Rattus norvegicus: one gene and its partners. The protein of the gene in region 2 purifies or fractionates together with the protein of the main gene of each other region. This does not show direct contact. Links are inferred from orthologs where the notes say so. Each region holds a gene or a part of one and is shown on either strand. Other genes may lie near its edges. The genes, in order: Met, Lgals1, Fn1 and Itga4.

The links.
Region 1: the proteins of Lgals1 (region 2) and Met purify together in Homo sapiens (affinity purification with mass spectrometry; 3 studies listed by BioGRID and IntAct, with this or other methods). This does not show direct contact. The link is inferred for Rattus norvegicus from reciprocal best matches to the Homo sapiens genes LGALS1 and MET.
Region 3: the proteins of Lgals1 (region 2) and Fn1 purify together in Homo sapiens (affinity purification with mass spectrometry; 3 studies listed by BioGRID and IntAct, with this or other methods). This does not show direct contact. The link is inferred for Rattus norvegicus from reciprocal best matches to the Homo sapiens genes LGALS1 and FN1.
Region 4: the proteins of Lgals1 (region 2) and Itga4 purify together in Homo sapiens (affinity purification with mass spectrometry; 3 studies listed by BioGRID and IntAct, with this or other methods). This does not show direct contact. The link is inferred for Rattus norvegicus from reciprocal best matches to the Homo sapiens genes LGALS1 and ITGA4.

The regions. Positions count from the first base shown.
Region 1 is NC_086022.1:46,820,033-46,827,887, reverse strand, and holds part of Met (hepatocyte growth factor receptor), read right to left. Parts: intron 4,538-7,855; coding exon 4,377-4,537; intron 2,273-4,376; coding exon 2,170-2,272; intron 2,061-2,169; coding exon 1,924-2,060; intron 1,251-1,923; coding exon 1,089-1,250; intron 363-1,088; coding exon 263-362; intron 1-262. UniProt on the Homo sapiens protein: Receptor tyrosine kinase that transduces signals from the extracellular matrix into the cytoplasm by binding to hepatocyte growth factor/HGF ligand. Regulates many physiological processes including proliferation, scattering, morphogenesis and survival.
Region 2 is NC_086025.1:112,361,779-112,370,202, forward strand, and holds Lgals1 (galectin-1), read left to right. Parts: upstream 1-3,916; 5' UTR 3,917-3,952; coding exon 3,953-3,961; intron 3,962-5,178; coding exon 5,179-5,258; intron 5,259-6,443; coding exon 6,444-6,615; intron 6,616-6,814; coding exon 6,815-6,961; 3' UTR 6,962-7,023; downstream 7,024-8,424. UniProt on the Homo sapiens protein: Lectin that binds beta-galactoside and a wide array of complex carbohydrates. Plays a role in regulating apoptosis, cell proliferation and cell differentiation. Inhibits CD45 protein phosphatase activity and therefore the dephosphorylation of Lyn kinase.
Region 3 is NC_086027.1:80,663,044-80,670,898, reverse strand, and holds part of Fn1 (fibronectin precursor), read left to right. Parts: intron 1-945; coding exon 946-1,215; intron 1,216-2,550; coding exon 2,551-2,667; intron 2,668-3,762; coding exon 3,763-3,927; intron 3,928-4,611; coding exon 4,612-4,767; intron 4,768-5,975; coding exon 5,976-6,089; intron 6,090-6,917; coding exon 6,918-7,187; intron 7,188-7,855. UniProt on the Homo sapiens protein: Fibronectins bind cell surfaces and various compounds including collagen, fibrin, heparin, DNA, and actin. Fibronectins are involved in cell adhesion, cell motility, opsonization, wound healing, and maintenance of cell shape.
Region 4 is NC_086021.1:84,591,830-84,599,684, reverse strand, and holds part of Itga4 (integrin alpha-4), read right to left. Parts: intron 7,455-7,855; coding exon 7,325-7,454; intron 5,915-7,324; coding exon 5,829-5,914; intron 5,131-5,828; coding exon 5,068-5,130; intron 4,979-5,067; coding exon 4,841-4,978; intron 1,369-4,840; coding exon 1,257-1,368; intron 1-1,256. UniProt on the Homo sapiens protein: Integrins alpha-4/beta-1 (VLA-4) and alpha-4/beta-7 are receptors for fibronectin. They recognize one or more domains within the alternatively spliced CS-1 and CS-5 regions of fibronectin. They are also receptors for VCAM1.

The DNA of each region.
Region 1 (7,855 bases), on a different chromosome or scaffold from region 2:
TGTGTGTGTGTGTGTGTGTGTGTATTCGTGGGTGTGTATGTATGTATGTGTGTATGTATGTGTGTATGTGTGTGTGTGTGTGTATGTATGTGTGTGTGTATGTTTGTATGTTTACAATGTCAGCCCAAGATTCTACTGTTGACTAAAAGTACCACTTGACTTCTGCTGCAGCTTACTAGACAAAGCCAAAATGTCCCTGTGCCCCGAAAGCCTGGCAGCACACAGGCAGAGTTCTGAGCGGAATGGCCACTCTAGGACTTACCACGGTGTAGTTCACGCCCACGTCATGCACTTCTATTACCAGCTTTGGGGTGCTAACTGAATTCAGGTTCTTTCCAATCCCCGTTATTGTGCTTCCACCACTGGTCAAATAAAACGGAAAACGGAAATATTCAGAGCTGTCCTACCAACTATGTAGACGCCCAGTCTTAGACTCAGTGATCACGCTAGGGGACTCGCTAGGGCTGAATGGGAGTTCAGGGGTAACTCTTCTTTGGAAATTTGAGAATGTTTAAAGAGATATTTCATTAGCTGTAGAAATGGCCGAATTTTTACTGAATAAATGTGGAAAAGAATGTTTTTTTTTTCTCTCTCTGAAAAATACAGGGGAAAACATCCATGACTGTTCTCGCTTGGCTGACAGAACAAGCGGAAACGAGAGATGCTCAATAGCTGCTGACTAAAACAGAGTCTGGTGCAGAGAAGAAATATGTATGTGTAAAGGGATCCCAAAACACAACAAAAGGAGAGGGAAAAGGCGACCTGCAGCTCGGCGGAGGACTGACACATATGCAAGCGTATGTGACATAGGTGTGTCACATATACAATGGCACCAGGCTGAACTGTTCTCCTCTAGGTGTTGAAATCATAACAGGAAATGAATAATGGGCAGAATTGTTCTTGGCAGGAAGTACCATCGATAAAGTCAGACTGTCCGCGGGACCTAAATGCAGTTCCCCGCTGAATTGGAGCGGAGCCCTCAAAACACGGCAGCATTTAAACAAGGGATAAAGTGCAACGCTCCTGGGTATTCCTCAGCCAACCTTCCGTTCTTGCTTTCCTTCTACCGATCAGAAGCTTTCACTTACCTGATAAAAGATTTGGTCGGGTGGATTTCAGAGACAACCGGGTCTTCCCGGTAACTGAAGCTGCTTGTCACTCGGTCAGCCAGGTCGATTTTCAATTTCACGGGAAACTCGGCAGAGACGGTGTGGCCTGGGGTGTAGCATTCGAGAATGCTATCTGATACACTGAACAACAAGCAAAACACCAAGGGCCAGAAAGAACGGAAGGAAAAGAGTAAATAGCAGACATTAGTTATTAGTGATATTATACTCCAAAATTATACCTGTACGTCGAAAAATACAACTCCGTGGAATTTTCTGAGGTGGCCTAGGAGAAAAGCCCTTCCCAGGGTAGCTTGTTTACATCCAGCTAGATTCCCACACTTAGCCTTGATGAAAGGCCATCCGTGACTTCAAAACATGTGGTGGTTCAGGCAAACTTCAAAGTCCATTTGGTACTAGAATAAACTTAGCTCCTTCCACCCTGAGGAGAAACTACCTTTTAAATCTAAGCTCACCCATCCCGTCCCTCAGCATACCTTCTTCATCTCTGGATCTTGATAGAAATGCTTATTTTGATGTAGTGCCAATGACCAGAGCTTTAAGTTCGTTATATAGCTCAGATAAGACTCACCACAATGAAGGAGTGGATAGCAAGACAAAACTCAGAGTGGGGATTAAGCAACAGAAGGGGAAGGATAGAAAAATCAGCAAAAGGACCCAGTTGGACTTGGGAAGAAGAGAATCACCAGGAGAAAAATCATATAAAAACATCTTTATGCTCTGTGCAAATAAATGCAAAAGAACTTGGCTTGGCGTATTAGGCACAGATATTAATACAACCAAAAAGCGACAATACCTTTTTAAAGTACATGTTTTCCCTCCGATTGAAATGTGTCTAGAATTGCCGCTGTTGAGGTATTTTCCAGTCAAAGTGAGTAAGGTGCCTCCGGCATGAGGACCATACCTTGGAGAAATACTTGTTATTACAGGATCCTGAATGGGTGGCAAAACCAAAAAGGAACTGGTTAGCTCTATTCTTTATGCAGATGAAATAAAAAACCAAACATCCCGGGTCATGACTAAAAGCAAAGCTTGGACTTACCACATAGGAAAACGCACTGTACTGTGTTGTCTCTCGACTGTTTGAGACGATCACAGACACATTGAAGTGCTCACTCATCGCGGGGCCAACTGTGCATTTCAACCTGCAAAGAAAGAGCAGAGCTTAATATGTCTCAAAGCCACACGCATTTTCTGATTTTCTGGTTTGGCTGCTTGTCGTGATGGGACCATTAACTCCAAATTGTGAGCTCATGATTCCAAATGGTAAGCTCGGTTTCATGGAAGTCATAAGGCTGAAAAGTCATGTAATCCTATTTTCTGAATGGTGGTGCCAAACTTTATATCGACCATTGTAGGACCCTTCATAGGTCACCAGTGCAGACTCACCAGCTAAGAAGTGCATGATAACCTAAGTCTGTGAAGTTATGTGTTTGGGTGTTTGGCCCATGTAGCATAATGACTGCTGCTATGTCAGCAGCATGTGAAGTAATGTGCCAGCTACGAATAGAGTAAGCCAGCTCTCTTCACCAATTTATGCCAACAACTATATTTTCTACGACTGTAGTCGTCAGAAATCTATTTAAACCACTTAAAGGCTAATGCTACTGGGACAGTTTTTCTGTAAATTATTATGGTTGTGCCATGTTGGGGACACAAGAATGCATGTAGAAGCCAGAGGCCAACCTTGGGTGTCACTTCTCAGGGGCTGTCTACTTGGTTTTACAATGTGCTCTCTCTCTGGGACCTGGAGATGCCTGATAAGGCTAGACTGGCTGACCAGAAAGCTCTAGGAGTCTTCCTGTCTCTGCTTCCCCAGTGCTGGATTATCAACAGTGAGCACCACCACACTTAACTTTTTACTTGGGTGCTGGGTATTGAGCTTGGATCCTTATACTTGATTGACAAGCGCATTAGCAACTGAGGCATCTCCTTGGCTACCAATAGTGCCAATTTTTATCCGTAATCTTATATAGCTATATATATAATAAATATATATTTATATAATAAAATTTAAATATAATTTGTTTTTACAGACTTCTAAAAAGAGAGAATGAATTGTCCTTTTTCTTTATAGCTCTTAATTCACATTCTAATAATTAAGAGTTTTGGAGAACAAAGGGATGCTTCTAGAGTAAACTCGCTTTTGCCTTTGGCCTAGCAAGCTTGACATTGACTGGTTTTGGTGATTATATTAAGGTCCTTTATGATGACCATGGAATGGAATCTATATTAGATAATTTACTTTATAGAACAGATTCAACCATAATGATTCAACTGTTGAAACTTTGGTTGTTGCTACTGCACTCCAACAAGTAATCCCTGGGTTACCTGGTCACTGTGGCATTTAGGGATTTTAGAGGGAATGTGTAGAATACAGGAGACTAAGCACAGGTCTTGATCAGAGAACAGAGCGCTGATCTCTGGCTTCGCTCAGGTAGGCTGTACCCTAGTTCTCTTAACGTTAGGCAAGAATGGAACTGACACCTCCTAAGATGTGGGGGACACCCAGATGGCAGAGTGCCATGAATATGACCTGAATATACATTTAAGCTCATCTAAAGAGTCTAAAAAGTGCTTGCCACTGTTCCAAGGACCAGCAGGTGAATCATGAACAGAGGACAGACACCCAGCTGTTTACTGATGTTCATGAGAAACCTTTGTGGGGGGCAACGTTTGAGGTCTCAAGGGGAAGACCCAGTCTTTCAAACTGTACGGGCAATTTCTGAAGAGGCTTTACTTTAGTAGTTCAAACCTCCTAGATGCTGGCCCAGCGGGATGGAAGACCAATTACCACACAAACCTACTGGTCTGAGTTTGAGCCCTGGGACCTACACTGGAAGGAGGTAACCAAGTTCCTGAAGTCATCTTCTGGCCTCCACACACAATGCTACATGTGCAACTGTACCCACAGACACTCGCCAAACACCCTAAACTACAGTAATAAACACAAATATTAGACTCCAACTCTGTATAAAGATTAAATCGAGTGAACAAGTCTAAAAACAACTCATGGAAGCTGAATTGCTCTAGGCCATACCACCTTTTCCTTTCTCCTAGTCTGTTAATAAAATGAGATTACGAGGAGAAAACCAAACACGTCTTCAAATGCTATGACAGGTCAAGACCCTTGTGAATGCATAGATGAACATGTTGAACACTATTTTTTTTTTCTTCTTCTCAGAAAACCCAATTAAAGAACCCGGCCTATCTCCCAAGGCCACTCAGCAAAGTCACCATGCTCCTTACGTATTTGTCGTGCTCTCGCTTAAGGTCAAGGTACAGCTCTCGTTGCCAAGCAGAACTTTGGTTTTCCTTAAATCAAATTTATTATTCTTCTTGAATCCAAAGTCCCAGCCACATATGGTCAGCATTGTTCCTCCTTCGAGGGGTGCACTAGTGGGGAAAACCTGCAACGATAAACCCAGCAGACTGTGATCATTTTCCACATCGTGGAAACCAAGCAAATGGTGTATTGCTTTTTAATATTTATTTTAATCCTGAAAAAGTCACACACACGTGTTTCTGTGTGTGGCTTTGCGTCTGTGAGCACACTGACTATGGAAGCCGGAAGAGTGCATTTGTTCCCCTGATCCTGGCATTACATATGTAACGCGGGTTCTAGGAACTAAACTCAGGGCCTCTGTTGAATACCTTTCTGACTCTCTGAATCAAGCAATTTATGTCTACCAGTTTGTATTTCTTAATAAAAAATTTAGTTGCTTTAAATATGGTGAAACTTTGATCTAGAACCTACATGAAGTTTTGTAATAGTACAAATTAACACTCTCTTTCTGGCAAAAAAAAAAAATCTAAACTGAGAGATCCTCAGATCAGTATTGTAGTGATGTTTCTAATTCTACTTATCAACATTATTTTATGCCATTGTAAAGATGTCTTTCCTCAATGTGCAATGTTCAGTGATCAACAGGCTAACTTTCGGTGTGTTAAAAGTGACCCCTGGACTGAACCCCCAGTGAACTAGACTGGTGGGGGGAGGGCGGCAATGGGGGGAGGGTTGGGAGGGGAACACCCATAAGGAAGGGGAGGGGGGAGGGGGATGTTTGCCCGGATACCGGGAAAGGGAATAACACTCGAAATGTATATAAGAAATACTCAAGTTAATAAAAAAATAAAATAAAATAAAAAAAAATGGTATGAAAAAAAAAAAAAAAAAAAAAAAAAAAAAAGTGACCCCTGGACTTACTATGTGACGGTGGCAGCCATATACCATAACATGAGGCATTTATGATGGCCACTCCAAGGCTAAAATTATTTAGGCAGAACACGTTTCCAAGTTAAAAATAATCTTCTCCTGGGGAGCTGTGTGACAATTGAGAAAGGAAATGCTCTTTTGGGGGGACATATTGTAAATTGTACTGTAAAGTACAATGGTGGGAAAATGAAGTCTGAGGATCAGGGCAACTCAGAACCAGCCAAGGCGCTTACTGAAAAGCCTGCCACTCTTACAGTCAAGGAGAACTTCCAGAAGAACTCAGGTTCGCACACATTCCCACCCTCCCTAAGCAAGTAACTGCAAACCCATGCCTTAACGCACCCTTGTTGCCAACCCCCTCTAAAGTCTCAGCCTAATGCTTTTCTAATCGCCGTTTGACAAACAAAATCCACTACACAGTTGTGCCTTTCATGAAAATTCACCTCATCTATGTCTGGCGAAATGAAAACTGCTAGAGGGGAAATCTGTTTACTAGGGCAATCCTAACAGAAGAGAAGAGGCAGTCGCTCCCAGGGCTCTTCAGGCCAATGCTCACACGCAGCTGCAGCTCACTGTAAGGAGGCTCCCTTCCAAAACAGCTGCCCAAGCCCATGTGGGCCAGATCCTTCCGCCTCCAGCCTTTCCCCTGCTCCACGTTAAAACTGAAGCCTGTCACTCAGCACACCTCATCATTGCTTCCAATGAAATGGCAGAGAGACTTGGCAGTCACCGAGAAAGGACAGCATTGCCTAGTAGCTGTGGCCACTAGTGACAAGTGACTAACACAACAAGTGACTGTAAAACCTGCACCACCCACCTCCTCCCCCCACACCGAGTTAAAAAGGTTGGCTCTGTTTAGCATTCTCCGAGCCCAATGCTGTCCCAGTAGCTTATGAAGGAACTGTCCCTCTTCCACGGGAAAAGGAAGGAGGCTGTCGGAGACCACACACCCTTGTACAGCCCCAACAATGGGCTGGCAAACTTGGAGTCATCCTGAAGTTCAGAGAAACTCTCCAGGCAGGAAATGTTCTGCACAGAGCCACAGAAGCCAGCCGGGTCTCCTACCTGTCTGGCTGGGGAGATGCTACCACAAATCAGTTCCTCTCCTTTCACAGGTGAACGACCACATTACTGCTGGGACCATTCCATCAAGACCTTAGAATTATGTTGGTTCACCCCATTAAAATAAAATATGAGAAAGCATTAAAAAAAAAACCATCGAAAACTAAATTTACCACCGGAAGCCATGTTCTCGTTTAGCAGGAAAAATAAAGTCACAAATATGCTGATGGCCCGGTCTGGTGCTGCTCCTGATCTGGGATTCTGATCAATGATACAGTTCTATTGTGTCTCTGAGACTGTCTCCAGTCCTATAACGTATGAAGATTGTCCCACCACGATACACCCAGACTGTACTGTGAAAATGCCTCTCCTTTTCTCACGGCTTTTGAAGTCTGGGGTCAGAGGACACACTTGAAACAATGCATTGGGTTTAAAATCTTGAAATCACTCCTATCTGAAACTGCAAAGTCTCCCAGCTACTGAATACCATGTACTGTGAGAAGCAGGTTAATGTGTATGTATCAGAAAGTGAAATTCTATACATCAGCTGGATTTGTGCATGTAGAGTTGAGGGCAGAAAAGAAAGGGGGACAATTTATCTTATTTTTTTTCGCAGTAAGAATGCCCAATGTCACGGTCTAGCATGGCATGAAATCTTCCTAACAGCTATGGGCAGAGGGGGTGGGTGTGTGGGTTTACACAGTCAGCTCTGCTATTGCTACTTTCTGTCTGCTGTAAAACCTACACCTCATCGACTTGTGCTTGTCACACCCCAACCTTTTAAAGTCACCAACTGTAGATGCTGGACTTTGGAAGGATGAAGGAAGAAGACTTGTAAGAGAAACTATGCTGTTCTGGAAAAGTCTAAGCTATTTGCTCTGTTGCCAGCTATTTTAGCAATAAAGGGAGGCACAAGGGGCCAGACGAAGCGCTCCTTCTGGTCGGGTTATCAGCCTGCTTTCTTAAACACTAATGTGGACAGCTTTGAAAGGAAACTGTTGTGATTTAATTCTGTGAGTGCGCACACAAACATACACTAGTTGTAGTTGCCCCAGACAGTAAAGAGTACAAGTTTCTGGCGTCTGAAATTGCTAAGGCTCTTTGTTTAATAAAGTATTCAGCTGCACGGGGGTTTTAAAAGACTGAATGACACAGTACAGACTCAAAGCTTCTTTCTTTTTTCTTTTTTCCTTTCTCTTCTCTTCTCTTCTCTTCTCCTCTCCTCTCCTCTCTTCTCCTCTCCTCTCCTCCCCTCTCTTCCCCTCCCCTCCCCTCTCCCCTCCCTCCCTCCCTCCCTCCTTCCCTCCTTCCCTCCTTCCTTCCTTCCTTCCTTCCTTCCTTCCTTCCTTCCTTCCTTCCTTCCTTCCTTTTTCTTTCTTTTTGCCAAGGCTTGGTAACTGTGTCACACCTAGCAGAACATGGTTTTACTGAAAGCCCAGTTACCCACTGC
Region 2 (8,424 bases):
AATAACCAACGCCCAGGGCCACGGCCCCCAAATCCATGCTCGCCTCTGTTCCGCATCCCGCCTCTGTCTGGGATCTGGCCACAGCTGCTGTTCCCTGGACAGAAGTTCACCAGGTGGGCAGAGACGAAGGAGAGATGATACGCTCAAATGAGATAGGCTTTGAAAGCAAGGCGCCGGGCACTGGGCCTGACAGATAAGTAGGTGCCACCACCAGGAGGCCCTGAGCACTTAAGGGTGTGGAGCACAGAAAGGACTTTATCTCTGTCCACCCTGCCTTAAAAACCACAGTGCCTGTTACAGGGGCCATTAGCATCTGGCAAATCCATACCACAGCTCAGGTGGGAGAGGGCCCCAGGAGAGGGTTAACCAGACACCAAGGAAGGTAACCTTGAAAGTCAACAAGGGGACTGTAAAACCTAAGCTCAGCTAGGTATGGTGAACTCTCACCTGTTATCGCAGGCCGGACTGCTTCAAATTCCAGACCAGCCTGGGCTACAGCATCCGATTGTCTCAAGGCAAAGGTCACCTCTGAAGGGCCACAGACCTGAGTCCTGCCCTATGGTGCCCTCAGTAAGGAAAGCAGGACTTACACGTACAGTTGCAAATGGAGAAACTGAACAAGCAGGGATGGAGGCAAAACCAGAATCTCCAGGCCCCAGTCCAGAGACTGATCCTCATACCATGCTCCTCTGTGGCCAGCCTGCTCGGACAGCACCTACAGAGAAGTGTCCTCAGGCCTCAGAGACTTCCTGGAGACACAGGCCTTCTATTCAAGTCATGACCTGTCAGGGACGTCTCCTGGAGCCCTGAGCTCTCAGCCCTTGGGTTTGCCTGCCTCACCTCTCTGGTCCTCTTCCTGGAACCCTGCCTGATGTGGGAGAGGGGCACACACAGTTGGAACTGTAGAGGAACTGGCCAGGCTGTAACTGAAGTCTGGGGAGGCCTCAGAGGGAAGACCGAAGCTGCTGTGGTTAGTTTCCCTGGTGGTTACTTGAGGGCGGGGCTGGGGATGATGGGGCAGCCCAGCCTCGCTGCAGATCTGACAGCATCTCCGCTGTGCCCTGCAGGCTCCCCTCTCCTCCCATTCTGGGTGGGCTTTCCACATCTGGAGGAAGGAGCTAGAGATGAGCCTGGGAGGGAAAGGCTGGGTAGGGCAAGGAGGATTGCTGGCCTGGCCTCCAGATGTGACTCACGATTCCTTATCTTTACGACTCTTCCAAGATGGCAGTTTCAGAAGGGGAATGGCAACATGGACTCCCTGTTGCCCTCGCCACCACCACCTGATTCCCCAGTGTGAGCTGAATACCCCTCTAGCTAACCAGAGATTTTTGGGTAGGAGAGGGGGGCTCTCATAGCCAACCAGTAGAGCTTGGCTTCTACAACCATTAAAGAAATAACTATTTAGTACAATGATCTCTTAGCACCAGTGAAGGTCTGGTTCAGTCCCCATCAAGACTGAGTTGTCACAGGCCTGAAATCCCAGAACTTGAGAGGCAGGAGCAGGAGAAACAGAGGTTTAAAGTCATCCTTAGCACAGCAAGTTGAGGCCAGGCTGTACCACATAAGACTTGTCTAGGGCTGGAGAGATGGCTCATTGGTTAAGAGCTGAGTTCAGTCCCCAGCAACTACATGGTGGCTCACAACCATCTGTAATGGGATCTGATGCCCTCTTTTGGTGTGTCTGAAGACAGTAACATACAGTGTACTCAGATACATAAAATAAGTAAATCTTTAAAAGACTCTTGTCTAAAAAGAGGCTAGGGCAGCAATGGTAAAAAATACACGGGCTGGAGAGATGGCTCAGCGGTTAAGAGCACCCGACTGCTCTTCCAGAGGTTATGAGTTCAATTCCCAGCAACCACATGGTGGCTCACAACCATCTGTAAAGAGATCCGATGCCCTCTTCTGGTGTGTCTGAAGACAGCTACAGTGTACTCATATATATGATAGATAAATAAATCTTTAAAAAAAATACAAAAGGATTAATTCAATATGGCTACCCTGTTTTTGGAGACAGGGTTTCTGTATGTAGTTCTGACTATTCTGGAACCTCAATCTGTAAACCAGGCTGCCTTTGAACTCATAAGAGATCTGCCTGTGTCTACATCCTGAATGCTGGGATTAAAAGTGTGTACCATCACTGCCTGGCTAGCTGTTTGAGCCAGTGTCTCATGTAGCAGATGGTGGCCTGGAATTCCTAATTGTCTTGCCTTAGCTTCCCAAGTGCTGGTGTTACAGGCACGAGCCACCATTGTATGTATTTTAAGTTTAAATATTGGAAGAACTGGCACAGACAGCAAGAGGTATGCATACCTGAGCAGACTGGCCTTGTAAGATGGCTCAAAGAGGTCGCATCGCTTAAGGGGACATGTGGGTTCTCGGGAGAGGGTCACTCCCGCTCCTGGGTGTGGGGGTGTGCTGTACAGAGTTACCTGGGGAACACCGGCCCTCATGTGGGGAAGCAGTTGCCCCACAAGTCTTTGCTGGGCTGGTTTGAGACAGTGACTTGTCTTTGTGCCTTTGGCTCAGAAGGGTTAGGTCAGGAAGGCTGAGTCAAGCGGAGTCTGAGCCAAAGGAAAGGAGACAGATACAAGACAAAGGCAGAGAGGGCAAACTCGCCCTTTCAGTAACCTTCTAGCGCTCGGGAGGAGTCCAGGCGTCTTGGCAAGAGCACCCTTGAAGTGCCTTGTTTTATCTCAAACCCTCCGCTCTGCTCAGTGAGCCTTCCTAAGTCTCATATCACCCCATGACTATCTGTAGCTCCCCAGGACTCTCAGGTAAACGAACACGAAAACCCTTTTCCTGGCCAATGAGACCCTTCACAATCCTTAACTCTCAGCTTTCTTCTACATGGTAAGCAGCTCATTCCCCAGGCATGGGCTTCCAGCCCCTGCTTCATATGCCCATCTTCACCCGGCCTGAGTGAGTGGCTGCCCGATGCCAACACGGTGTTATTTCTTATTTCAGCTCATAGTCAGATTCTTTCCAACCCGTGAATTCTGAGAGCAGAGACTAGGAGAGGCTCATCTTCTCTGAGGCCAGCACGGGGCTAGACACATAGTAGGTGCTCAGGAAAATAACTGCTAAATGGATGGGAAGGGATGACCATGTCTCTTCTCCAAAAATAAGAATGAGACCAAGGGTGCAAAGCTAGCACATCCTGGGCTGCCTCGAGGTCTGCCTCTCAGGCCCCAGGGATGTCACAGCCAGGCCCTGCAGTGGGGTGAAATCCAAGGTATAAGCCAAGGACATAGTCTCAGGCCTGGCGCCCAGCCCAGCCCTAGTGAGCAGCACTGAGCCGCAGCGGCAGTCCTCTGCTTCCGGGGAAAACCCGGGTGGGGCCTGTGCTTTGTGGTCCTCCTCAGCCCTCCGCAGAAGCCCACAGAAGGAGCAATAGTGAGAGCCACACCCTGGCCTGCCAGGCGGCAGCCTCTTAAGAGATTGCTTTAATGCTCTGCAGGCGGGGGTGGGGTGGGGGGTGGGGGGTGGGGGGGTGTCTATACACCCCCTTCCCCACCAGCTGCGCTGGGCCTCAGGGGCTTTCTCCCTGCTGGCCCCAGGCCCCATCCCGCCAACTCTTGAGCTTAACTCATCCTTAAACTATTTTCCACTGGCTCCCCCAATCTCTGCCACAGCACAAATCTTTTTTTAGTGGGAAGAGGGATGAAGAAGAATAAGAGGCGGCGCCTGGACCCTGAGGGAGGGACTAAGAGAGGGGCTCTCCTCTCTGACTGGTCACCTCTGCTCCAAATTGACTTTATAAATCCGTTGACTCCGCTTCTGGTGACCCCCAGCCCTGTCCTGACAGGCAATTGGCTGAATTCTCGGGGAGGGGCGGGACTCACCGGGTCTGATCCAGTTAAAAAGGTCGGAGCGGGCCTGGGGCCCATCTCTCGGGTGGAGTCTTCTGACAGCTGGTGGAGCAGGTCGCAGGAATCTCTTCGCTTCAATCATGGCCTGTGTGAGTGCGGGACCCTCTGTTCCAAGGTCTAGGGGATTGAGCAGAAGCAGATGAACACAGGGGAGTAGCCAATTGGGAAATTGCTTCTAGTCCCAGCTGTGCAGCCTTGGACAGGTGTTTTCTCTGGTCCTCACTGGCTACATCTGTAAAATGGGGGTGGCTGTCATAGTCCCCCCTGAAACTTTCAGCCTCTCTGGGTTAAGAATGTTCTGGATTTCTCTGAGTTGTGGCATGTCTTGCAAGGTCCAGTACTCTGCCACTTTGTAGTTTTCTGAGAAGTGGGAGTGGGAAGGGTGTGGCCTCCGAGGAAGAAGGAGGCAGGGGGACATTTTGTCCAAGGCCATTCACTATTCCCTCTGCTCTATTCTAGAGTCTCCTGACCCCTCCCCCGCTGCAGCTGTCCCCAATCACAGAGCCAGGGCTCAGTTGGTCACCCTCTGCTCCAGAAAACTTTTGGAGAAAAAAAAAAAAACAAAACAAAACAAACAAAAAACACCTCCTGGGCCCGAGATAGGCGGCAGGCTGGTCAGTGGAAGCTGGTCAGGTCTGAGCCGAGGAAACTGCATGCATTTGCACACACAGACACACAGGCAAGCCCTCCGGAATGGGGTTCAAATGTCAAAGAAACTCCTTACCCAAATTAACTCCTGTGCACTCACCCAGGCAGCTGCGCGCAATGCCCAGATAAATGCTGGGCTCTCTAACTTACTAAGTCCACATTGCCACTCTCAGTCTGTCCTCTCCCGCAGAGCAGGCCCGCCTCTTAGCTTCTCCGCTCTAGTTGCTGTGCCTCTGGACTGAGAGCCTTGAATCAGATTGCGGAGGTTCGGGCTGCATTCTCTCAGAGAAGCAGGGCCTTGGGCTAGTAGTCGCCTAACCCTGTCCATCAGCTAAATGAGGATTTAGGTGGTCATATGCCATCTTCCCCTCCACTCTAAGTCCAGATCCCCAAGCTGATGATGGGTGAATCTTCTAGGGCCTGTTCTGTAGGACAGCCACAAGTTTGACACCCTGCTGGGAATGGGGACTCTCTCCAACTGCAGGGATAATCAAGACTAGAACCTACACCCTATCCTGACCACCCATCCTACCTTGGGCTTCCCCTAGGGTTGGTCAGGGTATCCCAGGGTGGAAATGACCCCATTCCCACACCCCAGGCCACTGTAGGTCGCTCCTAACTCCAACCTAAACACAGCTGGGTGGTCTTGTCTACACAGGGTCTGGTCGCCAGCAACCTGAATCTCAAACCTGGGGAATGTCTCAAAGTTCGGGGAGAGCTGGCCCCGGACGCCAAGAGGTGAGATTGGAGAAAGGAATGGAGATGGCAGGGGGCGGGGTTCGCAGACCTAAAATGCGATGGGCGTGACCGGCCAGAACCGCTTCTCCCCCCCCTACCTAACCCCGCCGCGGGTTAATGGGCAGCTGCAGATGCTGCGTTTTCTGGGTGAGTCATTTCCTCGCCGGGTCTGGTCGACCGACATCGCCGTGGTCTCCCCCTCCCTCCCACCTCCTCTCTCCCCGCTGGAGTTTCTTAAACTAAAACAGCTGCTGCCTCAACTCCAGCTTGCCCCCGCCCCTTCCGAGGAGAAGGAGGGGGACGCGGGGGGGGGGGGCGAGGAGGGCGTGGTCACCCTCGTGCCTGCTGCCTGCGGCGGCCCTGCTGAAGCTCAATTTTTTTTCCCCCCCAGAGCTTTCCCCTCATTCATACCGCCTAATTTTTCAGCAGCCATGTGAGCTTGGACCAGTCACCCAAGCTTAAGAGGTCTCGACTTTTTCTCTTTTCTTTTCCAAAGACAGAGTCTGCCTTATAGCCCTGGCTATCATGGAACCTATTATGTTGACCAGGCTGGCCTCCACGGAGACCCACATGCCTCCGTCTCCTCAGAGCTAGGATTGAAAGTGTGCACCTCCGTATTCCACACCCCTAAGAGCCTAGGTTTCCTAATAAAGCCAGAGGAAAAGTGGTGGAGTAGAGAGAGCCAGGGGCCAGTTTCAAGGCGGCAGCTGCTGCTGTCTGTTGTCAGATGTTAGTAAGCTCCCGAGCCCTCTTTCCTCTTCCCACCCATACCTCCATGGTGAGCACTGTTGCCAGGCTCCGTGCAGCAAACTCCGAATTATTATTTGCTCTTTTTTCTCCACAGTGAGGGAACATCTATGGTGTGTCCCACTCTGTGCTCAGCACCAGGGACTCAGATACACAAGATGATGGGTGACAACGATCAATGTCTGGGAGAGAGAGCTCCCTTCAGGACAAGCCCTCTGACTGACAGACAGGGAAGGAAATGTGGGTCAGAGAGAATCTGCAGGGTCTAGCTCAGTTCGCATGGTGAGGCCAGAAGTAGAATCCAGGTTCCTGGCCTTCCTGTTGACTGAGTTTCACCAGGGCACATTAGTGGCCAGCTGCTGATGTTGCATTTTCTCAGTAAGCCAGCCAGGGGCTAGAGCCATGCAACACGGCTTAAAGCCCACCTGTCATCCTTAGCTTTGTGTTGAACCTGGGGAAAGACAGCAACAACCTGTGCCTACACTTCAACCCCCGCTTCAACGCCCATGGAGATGCCAACACCATTGTGTGTAACAGCAAGGATGATGGGACCTGGGGAACAGAACAACGGGAGACTGCCTTCCCTTTCCAGCCTGGGAGCATCACGGAGGTGGGTAGGACTGGGGCTGGGCAGGGCCCTGGGTGGACTGCACAATGTGGTCAGAGGCGGAGGCTGATCCGTCCTGGCTGTGTGATTACCACTGAATGGCATCCCTCTTTGAACATAATGGACCTCACCTATACAGGGGCCATCCCCAGGGCTCTGAGCTGGTCCAGGCCCCAGCTCACTGCCCTTCTCCATCCACCAGGTGTGCATCACCTTTGACCAGGCTGACCTGACCATCAAGCTGCCAGACGGGCATGAATTCAAATTCCCCAACCGCCTCAACATGGAGGCCATCAACTACATGGCGGCGGATGGTGACTTCAAGATTAAGTGTGTGGCCTTTGAGTGAAGCCAGCCAGCCCCAGCCCGTAGCCCCCAATAAAGGCAGCTGCCTCTGCTCCCTGTAACCCAGCCCTTCGTGTGTGAGTGTTTGTGTATGTCTATGTGAGGGGCCCTGCCCAACCTGGTCCATCTGCACTTCCATTCACTCCTCCACGTGTTCTTGGTCCCAGTGACCTTTCTTCTTGTGCTCTCCAGGCTAAGGCGAGCCCAGCACATAGAGGGGGCTTAGTGACCGCAGAGTGTGAACCAGTGTACCACTGCAACAGGGCAGAATGGTGGGAGGTGAACTAATGAACAGAACACAGGACTTCATTTGTTTCCATAAAGGCCAGAAAGGGCATGGTGACACATTCTTGAAATTTAGGAGGCCAGGACAGACACATCGTCGTGTGTTTGAGACCATTCCGGACAGCCTGGTCTACATACTGGAGGCAGCTGGGACTAGCTGTGCAGTTCTGTACTGCTAACTACTTGGGAGACTGAGGCAAGAGGACCACTTAGGGCTAGCTGGGGCAACATAGCATGACTTCATATAGAACGGAGGAATCTTGAACTAGGTAAGGGGCTACAACTGTTGTGTGGCCTTGTGCTTGTTAGCTGGTCTCTCTGTGCCTTAGTTTATCATTTTTATGCAGTTCTCGGGAGGGTCGTGGAGTTAAAGGAGATTTTAGTGGAAGCCAAGTTCTGCTCTGGGTACATCATGGCCAATGCCATGTGGGTAGCTTCTGGTCTCCCTCACACTACTACCTTGTTTTTGCCTACAAAGGGAAGGGGAAGAGACGGTCTCTGAGGGACAAAATGACGCACCAGCAGCTGAGGAGCACATGTGAAGCAGGCTTCCTAGTCCTATGATCCTCGGCTACATTCTTCTGCTGTCAAAGGGCAGCTAGAGGCCTAGGCTAGAAGCTGCTAACTCTGTGGCACTGAACAGATCCCCTCCCTAACAATGGGAATCCAGGATGAGGTCACAGCCCTGTAATGTGGTTGGGGGCTCTGAGTGGGTCCCTTCGGAGACGTGGGGTGAGGAATGGGATGGGAAGGCCCAGAAGCAGGTCTTCCAGAGGGCAGGTGGCTCACTGCAAGCTTGCTCCTGCCTTCCAGAGCAGTGGGTGTCTTCCCCTGCCCTCAGCTCAGGTTCTGCTGCCTCGGGATGTGGTTGTTAGCTGAGGCCTGCCCCATCCAGTGCAATTAACTGCATCAAACCGGTGGGCCACCATTGTTCATCCATACCAGTGTCACCACTTCCCAGGAAACAGCTGCAGGAACTGAGCCAAGGTTCTGGAAGGCTTCAACTATAAACCTCACTGGGCTCTCTCCAGCTCTCAAATCCGGGGTTCATATCCTGAGGCTGGGAGGTGGGTGCCTGTGAGATGTGCCATCTCATTTTCTGGGACAACTGGCACCCTCTTGGTAGGGTCCATCCCCCAGCCTCAGTTTCCCAATCCACAGCAAGATGAAGACTTTTCATGG
Region 3 (7,855 bases), on a different chromosome or scaffold from region 2:
CCTCCTGCCACCCTTCCTGGTCCCCTTCCTCTCTGTAGTAATGTACAACCCCCCTTTTCCGCTCTCATGTCACCTTGTCACCTCTATTCTCTGACCCTTTTCAACCTCTCCCACTTAAGGCATCTTCTTTTCTCCCCACATTCCCTTTTCAGGATCTATTCTCTGCACATGTGTGTAGATGCTCCGTACACACATGAAAAATTAAAATCTAGGATCCACATATGCGGAAACTCATTATTTGTCTTTCTGAGGCTGGATGGCTTTGTTTTATATAATAATGTTACTTTGTTTAACATGACAATGGAGTTCCCTCTGTTTCCTGGTGAATGTCACTGGGTTCTTATCCTAGTTAGAGTTGTTGTGCTGGCTTTCATAAAACACCAGGATCAATAGGAAATTGGGGAGGGAAGGGCTTATTCGCCTTACACTTCCACACTTTAGTCCGTCACTGAAGGAAGTCAGGACAGGAACTCAAGCAGGGGAGGAACCTGGAGGCAGGAGCTGATGCAGAGGCCATGGAGGGTGCTGTTTACTAGCTTGCTCCCCATGGCTTGCTCAGTCTGCTTTATTATAGAATCCAGGACCATGAGCCCAGAAAAGGCACATCCACAATGGGTTGGGCCCTCCCCTGTCAATCACTCATAAAGCGAAAGCCCTACAAGCTTGCCTATAGCCTGATCTTAATAGAGGCATTTTCTTAATTAAAAGTTCCTTCCTCTTAGATAGCTTTTGCTTGTGTCAATGCTAAAGCCCTTGGAAATATCAGTATTTCGGTATAATGTAGAAACTGACTTTGAAAAAGAAAAAGAAGACATGCGTGTGTAAACCGATTGAGGTCAGCTATCGGTACCGCATAGCAGGGTCTGTCGTGTCCCCCCACATCGTCCTGGATGTCTAAACTGGTGGTTGTTGTCTTTTGCTCCCCTCCTTGGGTGGGAAAAACAGGTCTGGACTCCCCAACTGGTTTTGATTCTTCTGATGTCACCGCCAACTCATTCACCGTCCACTGGGTGGCTCCTCGGGCCCCCATCACCGGCTACATCATCCGCCATCACGCCGAGCATTCTGCCGGAAGACCCAGGCAAGACCGAGTGCCGCCCTCAAGGAATTCTATCACCCTCACCAACCTTAATCCGGGCACGGAGTACATTGTCACCATCATTGCTGTTAATGGCAGAGAGGAGAGCCCCCCACTGATTGGCCAGCAATCCACGGGTAATGTTGTTTTTTAATCTGCAAAGAAATTCCCTGGTGTGGAATTCCTATGGTTCCGTGTAGGCTATGAGAGAGCTTCATGCCTTCTGAGTCTGCATCCCTGGAAAAGTAGACGGTGGCAGGAGACACTCAAAAAGCAGTGATGGAACCAGGCACTGCAGTGCACGCCTGCCTTTGATCCCAGCACTCGGGAGGCTGAGGCAGGTGGATCTCTACAGAGTGAGTTCCAGACCAGCCAGAGTTATACAATGAGACCCTGTGTCTCAATGAAAAGGGGAAGAGGGCAGTGATAGCCTGTGTGTGTGTGGCAAAAAATTTCTCCCTCTAAGAATACATTTGAAAAGAATTTTTTTTTCTTCGGAGAAATTGTCACTTGATTTGGCTATGCTCTGGTGATCTTGCTGGTCAGTTTTTATTTCTGATGTTTTGAGAGAGTCTCCTAGCCCACACTGACCCAGGACTGATGTAGCCCGGGCTTAATCTAAGATCCTTCGCCTTGACTTCTGGGTGCTGGCCTTAGAGGCATGAGCTACTATTGGATCTTTATTGGTTTTTAAGAAGATTGCATTCAAAACATAATGTGGTACCAAATTTAGTGTAAACCTATGATTTTTTTTTCTTTTAAGGTTGGGCTTGGTAGCACAGATGCGTATGTAATCACAGATACTTGGGAGGCTGGGACAGGAAGGCCCTCCTTGTCTGCTGAGAGTTCAAAGTTAGCCTGTGCAGTTCAGTGAGGCCTTTTCTTGAGATAAATAAAAGTTTTTTAAAAGGCTGCGATGGGTGTCGCACACTGGTAGAGTGCTTTGTGTGGTGCGAGTCAGGCTAGACTATGTCTTTAAGCACAGATAGATATATTTTCAGGGACAGTGATTAGGAGACCTGTTATCAAAACCATCTGTGGCTTAGCTCTGAATAGGGGTGCGCGTGACCACTTTCCAAATAGCACATAGTTAAGCATGCATGGGTGGGATCTCAGTCCCAGGCCAGCCTGGTCGACAAAGCGAGTTCCAGGACAGACGGGGCTGTTAACACAAACTCTGTCTCAAAGAAGAAAAAGAAAAAAGAAAAAAAAAAGTGCGTGGGTGGGGGTGCCTCTGTAGGTTTTTGTTGTTGTTTTAACTTATGTGATTTAAATTGTTTTCCAAAGAAAATGGTGAGGAAAAAGAATTCACAATTCCCTTGACCTCTCCATAGATTTCCATTCTGCTAATTCCGTGTTGCATTTAGATGTTTGTATGAAGGAAATGTAACCGTTATGTAGGAAAAGACAAAGAGTGGATCTGAGCTTTCTTTGGAAGTTATAGCCATGTCATTTTCCTGTGATTTTTCTAGTTTCCGATGTCCCGAGAGATCTGGAGGTCATCGCTTCCACCCCCACCAGCCTGCTCATCAGTTGGGAACCCCCCGCCGTCTCTGTGCGCTATTACAGAATCACCTATGGAGAGACAGGTCTGTAGACTGTGGGCCATCTCACCCTATGGGATCAGGGTCCAGGAGGGTAACTTGGAAATCTGACAGTGGGTGCAGGAGTAAATGCTAGCAGGCCCACTTAGAAAACCTCTTTTTCTTTTTTTCTCTTCAAATATGCATTGGAGCTGTGTTTAATTGACTATAATATTAAGTTCAAGGGTTGTTCATGCACTACAGCTGGGGTAGAGAGCAGAACTGAGAGAAAGAATTCATATATTCACAAATATTATCTCGTTGGTAACTCTTACTATTTTTTCTTTTCAGTGTTTTCTTTTTTCTTTTCTTTTCTTTTTTTTTTTTTTTTTGGTTCTTTCTTTTTTCGGAGCTGGGGACCGAACCCAGGGCCTTGCGCTTCCTAGGCAAGCGCTCTACCACTGAGCTAAATCCCCAACCTGCAGTGTTTTCTAAATTTAACAAATATTCTGTTAACCCTTTTGTAAAGAATGCATTTCATTCCATTTTGGGTCGAGTGACCCACATTCTTGTCCCCCTTTTCTATTTAATTTTAAAAAATTGATTAAAAATATAATTATATCATTTTTTCCTTCCCTTTCCTCTTCTAAACCATTCCAGGCCCCTCTCCCACCACTTCTCAATTTTGTGGCCTCTTTGTCTTACACACACACACACACACACACACACACACACACACACACACACACACGCATGTACATCCAACACATATGTATAACTACAACCTACTGAGGCTGTTTAGTGTTACTTATGTGGATGTGATTTCAGGGCTGACTACTTGGTATTTTATTATCAACCAGGGAGCTCATTCCTGGGGATTTCTTTACCTTTTGCCTGTTAATCTACAACTCAGTGACATTTTAACCCAGGGATGTTAAAATGTCATTAGCTTGAGCGTTCTCCTGGTTTTTATATACTTATCAGGCCTTCCTTACTACACGCATAAATACACTTGCCTGTTCCGGCTAGGTTAAAGCAGCCTGATCTCTTTATGAAGGAACCTGCAAGCCCAGTGATTTACAGACTGCTTTAGATGTTCTAATAATATTGGAGTCACTCATGGCTTCTCAAATTCTCTACTTACTAACTCCTTTTACACAGGAGGAAATAGCCCTGTCCAGGAATTCACTGTGCCCGGAAGCAAGTCCACCGCCACCATCAACAACATTAAACCAGGAGCAGACTACACCATCACCCTGTATGCTGTCACTGGCCGTGGGGACAGTCCAGCCAGCAGCAAGCCAGTTTCCATCAATTATCAAACAGGTAAAGATTTCTCTTCTGGGGTAACACAGGGTTATTTATGAAGATGGTCATCCCAGATAATATATCTATGTCTATATCTATATTTATATATCATCATGTTAAGTTATAAAGCTTATTGTTGAATATGATTTTACTGCAGCATGCTAAATTGTTTTTCATTTTTAGTATATATGTTATATATTATATCAAATATATATATCTCAATATATATCCATATATATATCTCAAATGCTATATCACTGAACTATACACTCCACCCTGTAGCTAACTAACAACACCTACAAGTAATAGAATCTCGAGACAAATGTACAAAGAAGACCCTGAGAGCAGACATTTTCGTCTGTTTTTAACTGCTACAGTCATTTATCTACCATAGACATAGAGAGTATTCATAAATACTTGTAAAAAGTGACTCAGGGGTTGACTGAATAGGAGACAAAGGCCTGCCAGACATTCAGTGTTTGGTTTGTGGAATGAAGGAATCAGGTTGAAACTAGTTGTCATAGTGTCTGGATGCATGGCTTCCCTTCTTCAAGCTGATGCCTTTCTTCTTGTCAGAAGAAGCCTCTGCAGTTCATTCACAGAAGCAAAGGTCATTTGCATGCACTCTAGAACTACAGGCAAGGGCGTGTCCAGTCCTGCCCCCAAGTACTGGGATGTCAGTGCTTTCTTTTGTCCTTACAGAAATTGACAAGCCATCCCAGATGCAGGTGACGGATGTCCAGGACAACAGCATCAGTGTCAGGTGGCTGCCTTCAACTTCTCCTGTGACAGGTTACAGAGTGACCACCGCTCCCAAAAATGGCCTAGGACCAACAAAATCTCAAACTGTCAGTCCAGGTAAGAATAACCAGAATGTTACACCATGCAAGATAAACACAGTAGGAGCTCAGAAGTTTCCGTTTGAAGTGAGTGTCCTATGTGGTGTTTGTATGGTGCTCCCATTCACAGACTGTTGTCATTGTACAGTTCTCCCATTCACAGACTGTTGTCATTGTACGGTGCTCCCATTCATAGACTGTTGTCATTGTACAGTTCTCCCATTCACAGACTGTTGTCATTGTACAGTTCTCCCATTCACAGACTGTTGTCATTGTACAGTTCTCCCATTCATAGACTGTTGTCATTGTACGGTGCTCCCATTCATAGACTGTTGTCATTGTACGGTGCTCCCATTCACAGACTGTTGTCATTGTACAGTTCTCCCATTCACAGACTGTTGTCATTGTACAGTTCTCCCATTCACAGACTGTTGACATTGTACAGTGCTCCCATTCACAGACTGTTGACATTGTATGGTGCTCCCATTCATAGACTGCTGCCATTGTATGGTGCTCCCATTCACAGACTGTTCACAGGACAAGCATTGGTATCCATGTATTTTAGGTTTTATTTTTTTTTCTACTGTCCTGGGTAGTAGTATGGAAACTATTTAAATCCTTAGTCACTAGGAAGAGAAGGATGTACTGACCCTGCAGAACCTTCTAGATCTGATGTTCCTATTATATAAAATGGCTTGCAAGATACATGATCTCAAGGCAATTTCTTAAGATCAATTTAATTTCTTTCTTTATTCAAGAATAGCCTCATTAATTAGGGGGCACGGTGTTAAGCTGTAAAGCTTACTGTTGAATATAATTCTACTGCAGCATGCCAAGTTGTTTTTGAGACTGGATCTCATGAAGTTTGTGCTGGCCTGGACTGCATCACGTAGGCAAAGACGACATTAAACTTCTGATCTTCTTGTCTGTATCTCTTAAGTGCTAGCACTCCGGGCACACAGTTTACTGTACTACTCACTATCAAAGCTGGGTTTGTTCATGGGAACAGCATTCTGCTAATGAGGCCACGCTCCCCAGCCCCAATGTTGTTACCAATGGACAAGTTTTCCTAAGAGGAAAGAGGCATCTGGCTTTTCCAAGTGGAATGGGTGTTTCATGACTGATCAGCAGATGAAAATCATAGAGTCCGCACCTGCTTCTCACTGAGCTCTTAGGCGTGTCTTGGGTGGCTTTCTGGACCTACAATTGCTTCCCTTTCCCTTCCAGATCAAACAGAAATGACCATTGAAGGTTTGCAACCCACCGTGGAGTATGTGGTTAGTGTCTATGCTCAGAACCGGAACGGAGAAAGCCAGCCCCTGGTTCAGACTGCAGTGACCAGTACGTAACCAACGCTCAGTCTCTACCTCCAAAGTCATATTGTTCTCGGGTGTTTCAGTCCCCCCTGCACATCTCATGCCATTCTATCCAGGGAGGGCAGTGTGTCAGCTGGTTCATATCTTGAGATGAGCCCTTGGCAAACATTCTTCTTGGTGCCACATAGTGAGCTTGCAGGAAAAATCATTGTAGCGTTGCCGTCAATGGCTGCTGTGCTTTGAATCTCCTTCGCTTAAATGGCCTCGGCAAAAATCTTATTTGCTTTTAGCAAATCTATGAAATATTTCTCCAGGGCCTACTTTTTCTATGACTGGATGGATGGTAACGTTGACGGTAGCACACCCCGAAAAGTGGTTATGTTTGAAGGACTGTGGCTGGGTCAGCATTTTAATAGAAAGACTTAACAGAGGGAGAAAGAAGACTCTGAGATGGATTATGTGTATGGCTTGAAAAGTCAACTTTACCATTTCCAAGATGTAGAAAATCCAGGTCTTTGAGACTAACATCACATTGCAAAATCAAATCTAGAATATCTTTACGTTGATGCAAGGAAATTTCCTTTGTGGAGATTTTTTTTCAGGGTGTCCGCGTGCCTCGCTCACACCTGTGTTTTAATGGGTAACGTGACACCGCATACGCTAAACCTCAAAAAGGGAAAAGAAAGCCTTTTAAGCAAATGTGTCAGGCGACTTTCTCTTATAATCGTGTGATAATTGGAATGTAATTCATCAAAGAAAATGGTATCTGCAGAACTGCTTTGCATGGTATAAGAAAATGCTTGTTTCCCAACTTGCTTTTCACATAACCTCTTACCATTAATTTGCCTAACAGACATTGACCGCCCTAAAGGACTGGCATTCACTGATGTGGATGTCGATTCCATCAAAATTGCCTGGGAAAGCCCACAGGGGCAAGTTTCCAGGTACAGGGTGACCTACTCAAGCCCTGAGGATGGAATCCATGAGCTTTTCCCTGCGCCTGATGGTGACGAGGACACGGCAGAGCTGCACGGCCTCAGGCCGGGTTCTGAGTACACAGTCAGTGTGGTTGCCTTGCACGGTGGCATGGAGAGCCAGCCCCTGATTGGAGTCCAGTCCACAGGTATATCGGTGACTGCACCGCTGGGTGCTTCTGGGAGCAGTGGCTTTACGCCTTGCTGACGTCATACTTTACCGGGCTAATGATTCCCACGTAAGGGAGAGTGGGAAAACGCCCTCGAAGTCATAGGAAGGGCCCTCTTTAACGAGGAATGGTAGCATACCATAAAAGTTAGGTTATATTTAGTGAACTAAGTCTATTCAGAAGAAATTTAAAGTAGCTAAGCATATATGTGCAAATGTATACTAAATATATATATTTAAAGACTATAAAGCAAGACATTTGAAGATGATACTACATTGTGGATTATTTCCTAAGTGATCCACACTCCCTCTCCACACATGAAGTAAGAGAGCTCACTCTGAGAATTGACCCTAAGCCAGGCATTTCCTGGCCACATGATCAGAGGACACATGGGAAAGGTCTTCTCTGGCTAGTTATCCTGTGCTGGGCCTTCATTTGCTTAAAGGATTATGATCCGATGCATAGGACAGAGTCATTAGGACAAGTGCTTCCCACAATCCTTTACCCTCTCATGCGTTACTTCTGGAGCAAGGTCGGAATGCTCAAAGCATATAGAGGTGACGGTCTGTGTTACCGCTCTCTGCTTCTCTTTCCTGCCTCTACTGTGAACCAATTTTCTTCTTATGCTGCTCCGCAGAGAATACTTC
Region 4 (7,855 bases), on a different chromosome or scaffold from region 2:
AGTCTAGACGTTTTTATTACTTTAAAATGGATTCTAAGTCAATTCTTCCAGTGGTGGTAATTAGAGATCACACACATACAAAATAGAATTTCAGAAAATGCCTTGTTTTGTAAAATAATGATAGAATGAATTTATTGTGATTAATGTTGAATTTATGACACTGGGGTGGAAAACATGCTGACTCATCGCATTGCCTAAGTGATGTAAATACATGTGACACGAATGAGGAAAAATTACATTCCATAGCTACAAGAACACGTCATGTTATACCGCATGACTCTATGGGGGCATATTAATGCACTTAATAACGTACAACATTTTTAATTATTTTAACTGATATCTAAAGAATAGAAAGCGTATTTTCATGAAAATTGTCTGAATTTTTTCACAACCACGATGGTAATTTTTGCCTCTTATTTAATACAAACCATATTTTCATTACCAATGACAGTATCAAGAAGATGCAATTCCGAGTCATGAAAACATGAACACTTACTTCCTGAATTGTAGGAAGCTGTTGCACTCTGGGAAATGGTACACTCTCCCTTCACACACATCTATCCTATGTGTGCAGTTTCATGGGATCAATTAACTCCCAATAATAGGCTAAGGAGGTACAGGTAGAGAGGAAGCAAGCCTGATGTCCAGGGTAGAATGCACGGTTAAGACAGTGCCATTCATTTAATCATATAAATGTTTCAGGATCAGTTGGTGGATAGCCAATCCTTTGATTCTCACGGCTGTTTCTCACCAACGCTGTGACTCTCACTGGGGTCTTTCCAGATCCTATAGCAATGCAGCTCCAGACAGTGTTCCTGGCATAGAAGTGATCACCAGAGCATGCTCCCCCTTCGACACCTGACTCAGTTGGGTTTTGTCAGTTTCTGAACTATACTGGTAGTTAAATACCATGGTCCAATGATATAGACCCCTCATGCTTTCTCTCCAATATCAAGATCTTTTTAAAAGAGAGAAAAGATGGATATCAAAAGTTGATAGGCATCATTTTATGAGAAAAGAATGATGCTACTTATAATCAATGACACCTTTAGAATCAATAAAATGCTTTGAATATCCCACTCTAATTAACCTGTTAAAGATCAATAACTGACATAAGATTATCTAAATCTCAGTGGCATATCATTCTTGTCCCCCTTTCAACAAAAAGGCTAACAGCTCAAAACTATGATCACATTTGCTTCCTTGAACTATTTTAAGCGTGGAAATTAAGTACCAAGTCAGAGATTTTTAATTACCTTCAAAGCCATCATTGTCAATGTCGCCAAGATTTGCCATGGATTCCCCAAACCTGGCAGCATATTTGTCACTTCCGACGAGCACTCTTTCCATTTCAACCATCACAGCTCCCTAGACAGGAATAGAAAGAAAGGTGCCATTACAAAACTGCCCGGCAACCGGACACGTGATTTACTGCTATAATTGGATATGGATTTTTCTAATGCGTCAAACCACAGACAGAGCTTCAGTACACACATCCCAGTTCAATTCAATAAATATTTATTAAGTCAACATATATAATAGCATGATTAGAGCTCAGAGGACATGGAAAATGGTCGAACTCATGATCCCTAGCTTTGAAAATCCAATAAATCATTTTGATAATTCAATTTAACAAACACTTATTGAGCTCTTGCTAAAGACAATGCACTGGACAGAGCGAACCAGTGAAAGCAGCCAAGGAGGAATGAGTATGTGTATATATATATATATATATATATATATATATATATATATATCACCGTTTCCTCCAGAACCACAGATACAAGATGGGCTTTATACAAGCATGGACATGACCTACAAATACAAATGGCTTTGCACTAATGAGAAGAAAGGAAAATAATTCTAACTGAAGCAAGGAAGGACTTCCAATAAGGGGCAGGAAGGAAAGATGATCTGAGAGAGATGTCACTCAGAGGTATGCAAGGTGGCTACTGCAAGGAAGGTGTGGTGGCGATGTACAGAAAAAAAAATGTTGAGCAAAATAGCTACATGTGTAAGTTAGACATATATGTTAATATCTGCCACATATTTATTAATTAATAAACATATAATGAACACGATAACAAAAGGCAAACTGTTGTCTTACAGTATACAGCAATTGGATTAAAAGGGGGAATTTACTCTTTCTGAAGGAAACCATAAGAAGCCAGGGGAGGTCTCTGAGATAACAGGTAACATGACTCAAGTGGCCTTTTGGAAACATCCAAACAGCAATGCACTGGTCGACCCTCATCTTGGAAATCAAAAGTGAGCAGTTATTATATATGTGATGAGCTGTCTAATTATGCTGTGATAATGAGCTCTGATAATTCCAATCCAACATTTGAAAAACAAATTCCATGTAGTGCTCACAGGTCTTATCCTCTTCTCAGGTAAATCTACTCTTCATTCCACAAACACACATTCAATGCTTTGCCAAGTCACCTTCACCTTTTCTTTATAACAGAAAATCCCTATTTTTTTCTCTCTGTCTCAAATACTATTTCTTCCTTGAAATACTTTTGGTCCAAAGTAAGGAATGTCTACTTTGAAAGTACTTATCACCTGCCATTTACCATGTTGCATTCCAGTGACTCCTCCATGACTGGCATCTCACCAAATCCTAAAATTCAGGAGTCACGATTGGGATTGTTTTCAGCTTTTTTGAAGGGCCATTTTCATTCTAAATGAATTGAAAATTTAAATTTATCTCTATAGCTGCAATCACTACCATTTACATGGCATGGAATTACATCCAAGGAGCGAAGGATAAAATGGGCGGGCTCCTCAGGAAATAATTCAAAGGAAGAGATGGGGCTTCAGTGAAGACACACAATGCTTAAACCTCAAGACAATGCTGATTTAGAAGAGTTCTAGGAGTAAGTGGTAATTGCTCCTGTTCAAGTATCCTACAGTCATCAAGAATGGCAGCTAAGTGCTCACTGGGGACCCCTGAGAGCGATTTAATAGATTAGGTCAAAACCCGAGTCCTTCGAGTAACCTTCTTTCTTTCAGTTCATTGACAATAATTCTGAAGTGTCTGCCTGTCTAGGACTTGTATGGGCCATGAAACAACAAGGGTAAATGAAACAGATGAGTCCTCTCCCATGTTAGCAGAGGTTCTGGCAGATGAGGAAAAGGAAATGTTAGGCTGCTTCATGGCTAGTGCCATTTCAGAGAGTTTAGAAATGGATAAAATGCAAGGAGAAGAAGAGAAATCCACACTGTGGGATTTTTTTTTTTATTAACTTGAGTATTTCTTATATACATTTCAAGTGTTATTCCCTTTCCCGGTTTCTGGGCAAACATCCCCCTCCCCCCTCCCCTTCCTTATGGGTGTTCCCCTCCCAACCCTCCCCCCATTGCCGCCCTCCCCCCATAGACTAGTTCACTGGGGCTTCAGTCTTAGCAGGACCCAGGGCTTCCCCTTCCACTGGTGCTCTTAAAGTGAAAACCAGTTGCTGAGCTGGTCTCAGTATTCAAGAGCAGTGCTTCTGGGTAATCCGAGGGAAGGGAAGCCTGGTGAGCAGACCCATCCTTTGCTTTCTCGGCATTCCCTTTATCTGTTTGCATATTTGGATGGCCTGAGATTTCAGCAGGAAAATGTTCCTTTACTTTAACAATGATTTTTAGTTACACTCTTTCTTTTAAACATTTCCTCATTAAGAGAAATGTACCAGGTATTTGCCACAAGGGAGAAATGAGAGATACTTGCTGACTAAGGGCAAGTGAGTAGAAAGAAGGCCATCTGCGAAGGGGAGGTGTGGAATGAGGTACAATGTTGTTCGCATGCAGCCATTAATGAGATCTGAGAGATCCCTACCCAGAGGACAATATGTTTTAGTTTAAAGAGAGTCTAGGGAGCCTCTGCATGTGTAACCCTCTAGTCTAGATTCAGAACTTTAAGACTCCCACCCTTCTAAGACTGGAAGCCCTTTCTTTTGCATCGTATAGAGTTCAGCATGACATTGGAAATGAACACTTATTAAATTCTCTGAAAAGTTCGAGTAAGCAGGGTTACAAGTGCACTTGGCTAAACCTCTACTAGAAGACGTTGTGTCCTAGGAAATAAACCTGTTTTCTTAAAAGCCCACTCTCATTTTCAAACTAAAGGACGAAATACTTCTCACGACTTAAAACTGAATGATACTCAGTAACTATCTGACTAAACAATGCAGCCACTTCAGAATAAATGATGCCAACCTCAGATTATTTTAGAATCTAATCCAAATGGAGTGTGTAATAATATTTCATCAACACACCTTATTTGTTTGCAAGTCAAGACGTTGAAAACATTGAATGCTTCATCTCTTCCTAATAGCAGACATTTTGTAACTTGCTGAATTATATAAGGACAATAGTTATTGAGTTATACAAACATCCATTTTGAAGTATCTGCAAAAACCATTCTCCAAATTGTATTTGTGTGGAAATGAAACTAAAGGGAATTTTAATTACTGCTCACGAAAGCTGTGCACGCGGATTCCCTTCACCCTCCATCTGTCTCCCTCTCAGAGCACCAGTACAGCAGTAGAATTCTACTTTGGTCCATCAAAGAAGCTTAAGACTTTATCTTTGACCTGACTAAACTTCTCGGTGCATAAAGAGTGCTTATGAGTGAGTCTCATGATCCAAACTGGATCTCAGGAACATGCAGTAGAAAGAGAGGCCTGAACTCCAATGACCTCCACATATGGACCATGGCATGGATAAGCATGCAAGCGCATGCACCATGCACGTGTGTACATGAACACACTGGCTCAGAACTCTGAAACGAGAGCAGTTTCAATCTGAATTATAATTCACGAATGGCTTCCTGTTTGGGGACCATCGGACATACCATGCCAGAGTTGATGTACACGAACACTCTTCCTTCCTCCCTGATGGTGCTCTGCATAGGCGCTCCAACAAGGAGATCTGAGAAGCCATCTGCATTGAGGTCCACCGCACAGACAGAAGCTCCAAAGTAAGAGCCAAGCTGTTCCAAAGCAAAGCACATGCGCAGTGAGAACACGTGGCGCTGCTCACAGAAGCCCTCAGCAACCCCATAGGCAGAAACGTATTTACCTTTTTACCTTTCATTTCATATACGATGGTCAGTTCGCTTTCATCAATGCTGAATATATATGCCTAAAATTGGGGGAAGAATTCAAAGACATTTACTTTCTTATCAAACTCAACCTATTTTTTAATCAAAATATCAATCTCTACAAGATGTAACTTGACAAACATAAAATATCAAGTGTTTAATAAAATTGTTACCACTATAAACTTTAAGAGTGATATATAATATTAATATTTATATTGATATGCCTGACTTGAAACACTATTGTCTCAGGAACCAACTTTTGGATCCCATAGAAAAGAAAAGGAAAAAGGTGTATCAAAAAAAATTGAGTGCCCAATACTTGTGTAGCAAAGTAGAAAAATCCAGAGCTAGAATTACTTTATTCTATTCTTTCTAGTCTTACCATGAAGCATTACCTGTCTCAACTCCCGCTTATTAAATAATAACCAGTACATTTATTCTCTGGGCATCTATAATTATGCCTTATTATTTATTATCATATTATATTATCTATAAGTTGTTATCTATATATTATCAATTTACTCATAGCAAAGCCTCATTTAATTTATATGAGTCCCCTTAAAGTTTTCCAGTAAATTTCTTTGAGAGCTATAAATAAATCTTGGGCAGATTCAACTGATGCAATATATCGCTCATCATTGTCATCTTATATGTTACAGTGTCCCTTCAACATGTGACTCATGTAATCTATTCAAGGCTTTGTGAAGAAACACAAAGAGGGTAAAAAGGAACGTCTTACTTTTCCTATCTGTTCGTGTTGAGGGGCTCCTCCCACGACTTCGGTAGTATGTGGATTTCGGAAATGACCAGCTCCTACTGAGTAGCCTTCATAAAAGGAGAGAAACATATGACGCTCATCGTTCACAGCAGTTATATGCTTTTCTAACTCTGCATGGAGGTAACCAAAACTATCCAAAATAACTACTTTAAGGAGAACCTCAAAAACGTTTATATTAACTTAAAACGGTCATTTAAGCAATTTAAACACACACACACACATATATATGTATATATATATATATATATTTTAATTCACAAACTCTCAATCTTGACACTTGACCTGTTATTCCCTGTGCAGTATGATTAGCAATGGTCTTCCAGGATTGCAGTTGCAACATCTGAGTACACAAAACTCTGGAGCTTTCAAACGACAATCTTTACACCTTTCATGCAATCTTTCTATTTCGCTGACTTTACATAAAGATATAACTTTACACGATGAGACATAAAGTTGGCTACATTTCCTATAATACTTCAAGCTCAATCACATAAGGAAATGCCTTATGAGTTCTGTTGGAATGATAATAATATATTACTTGTTTTATTAGTGCCCTTTCTGAGCACAAAATGTTCGCATTTAAAGCACATATGGGTCAAATAAGCCTATGCTTTGTTCAAAAATAAAAAAAAAACAAACAAATGAAAAATCTACAAAACATATGTGCTTTACTGTAAAGGAAACAACATTACAAAATTTGTATTTTGTAGAAATATAGGTGACAAATATGATATTCTTGACTTGGGAAATGACAACAATGAGGAGGAGGCAGAAAAGGACAATAAAAATTGTTAAACTCTGAGAAACAATTCAAGATAATCTTGTAAACAAAGCTTCTACAAGGAAAAAGCCAAAATGATAATTTTTAGAAATTTGTCATAATGCTCTCCATCAGCTGGGAGGTTCCTTTAGGATCCATTGGTCTTCATTTGCTAGTCTAAGAAATAATGCACATACATTCAAAGACATGTGTTTAAATGAATGAATTAATACAGAGTTAGCCTAAAAACTTCCGAGCCAGGAGAGGTGTCACAGACTTTTAATTCTAGCACTCATGTGTCAGAGGCCAACTAGGGCTATATCATGAGATTCTGTCTTAGAAAACAGAAAAGAAAGAGTAGAGGAGGAGAGGGAGAGGGAGAGGGAGAGGGAGAGGGAGAGGGAGAGGGAGATAAAAGAAATAAAGGAAGGAGAGGAGAAAAATAAAAGGAATTGGTTGTGGAGGGGTGAGGGTGGGGGCTTCCTGAGATAGAGTAAGCATTTAACAGTTCCTACATAAGGACACAGGGATGACAACTGTAGTTACTTACACCAGCATAAATACAGTTAATGAAATGCTATTGGCTTTATGCTTAATTGAGACAGTCTTTAATATATACCTAATTGTTACTGCCCAATAGATGTGTATATAATTTCTAAGGCACAGATAATTTAAGTTGGTCAACATTTTACAGTACCTAAGTAGCTTCCAAATTTTACTTGATTCTGTCTGTCTACAAATGCCTTGTATTTGTTCGTAGTTATGTTGTAGACAAAGACGGAGCCGGTCCAGTACGATGATCCCGGGGCCCCCATCACAATCAAATCCTGCAAAAGAAACCATCATTTGAAAGTTAAACCTTACCGCACCAAATCCCTTGCAAATATACAACATTCTAAGCAAATAACCAGGAAATGCATTTTATACTAAAGCTCAAAAATGGGAACATTTTATTAATTTAAAACCATATGTTAAATAGTCAAAAAAGTTAAGAATAGAATTTTAGAGAACAAGCTCTGGAACTTTATCCACATTGACCAGTGGGTTTCAACTATCAAACGTAGGGCTATTAGACACTAGAATAGGCTTTGGGGACCAAGGCGAGGTGGGCCAGTGAAAGACAATCATCTGTGTGGAATTCATTAGGGTTCATTACCAGGATAATCATGTGTTACCAGAGAGTAAAGGGGGCTTAATTGATTTTAATTTGCAAAAATCACTGAATAGT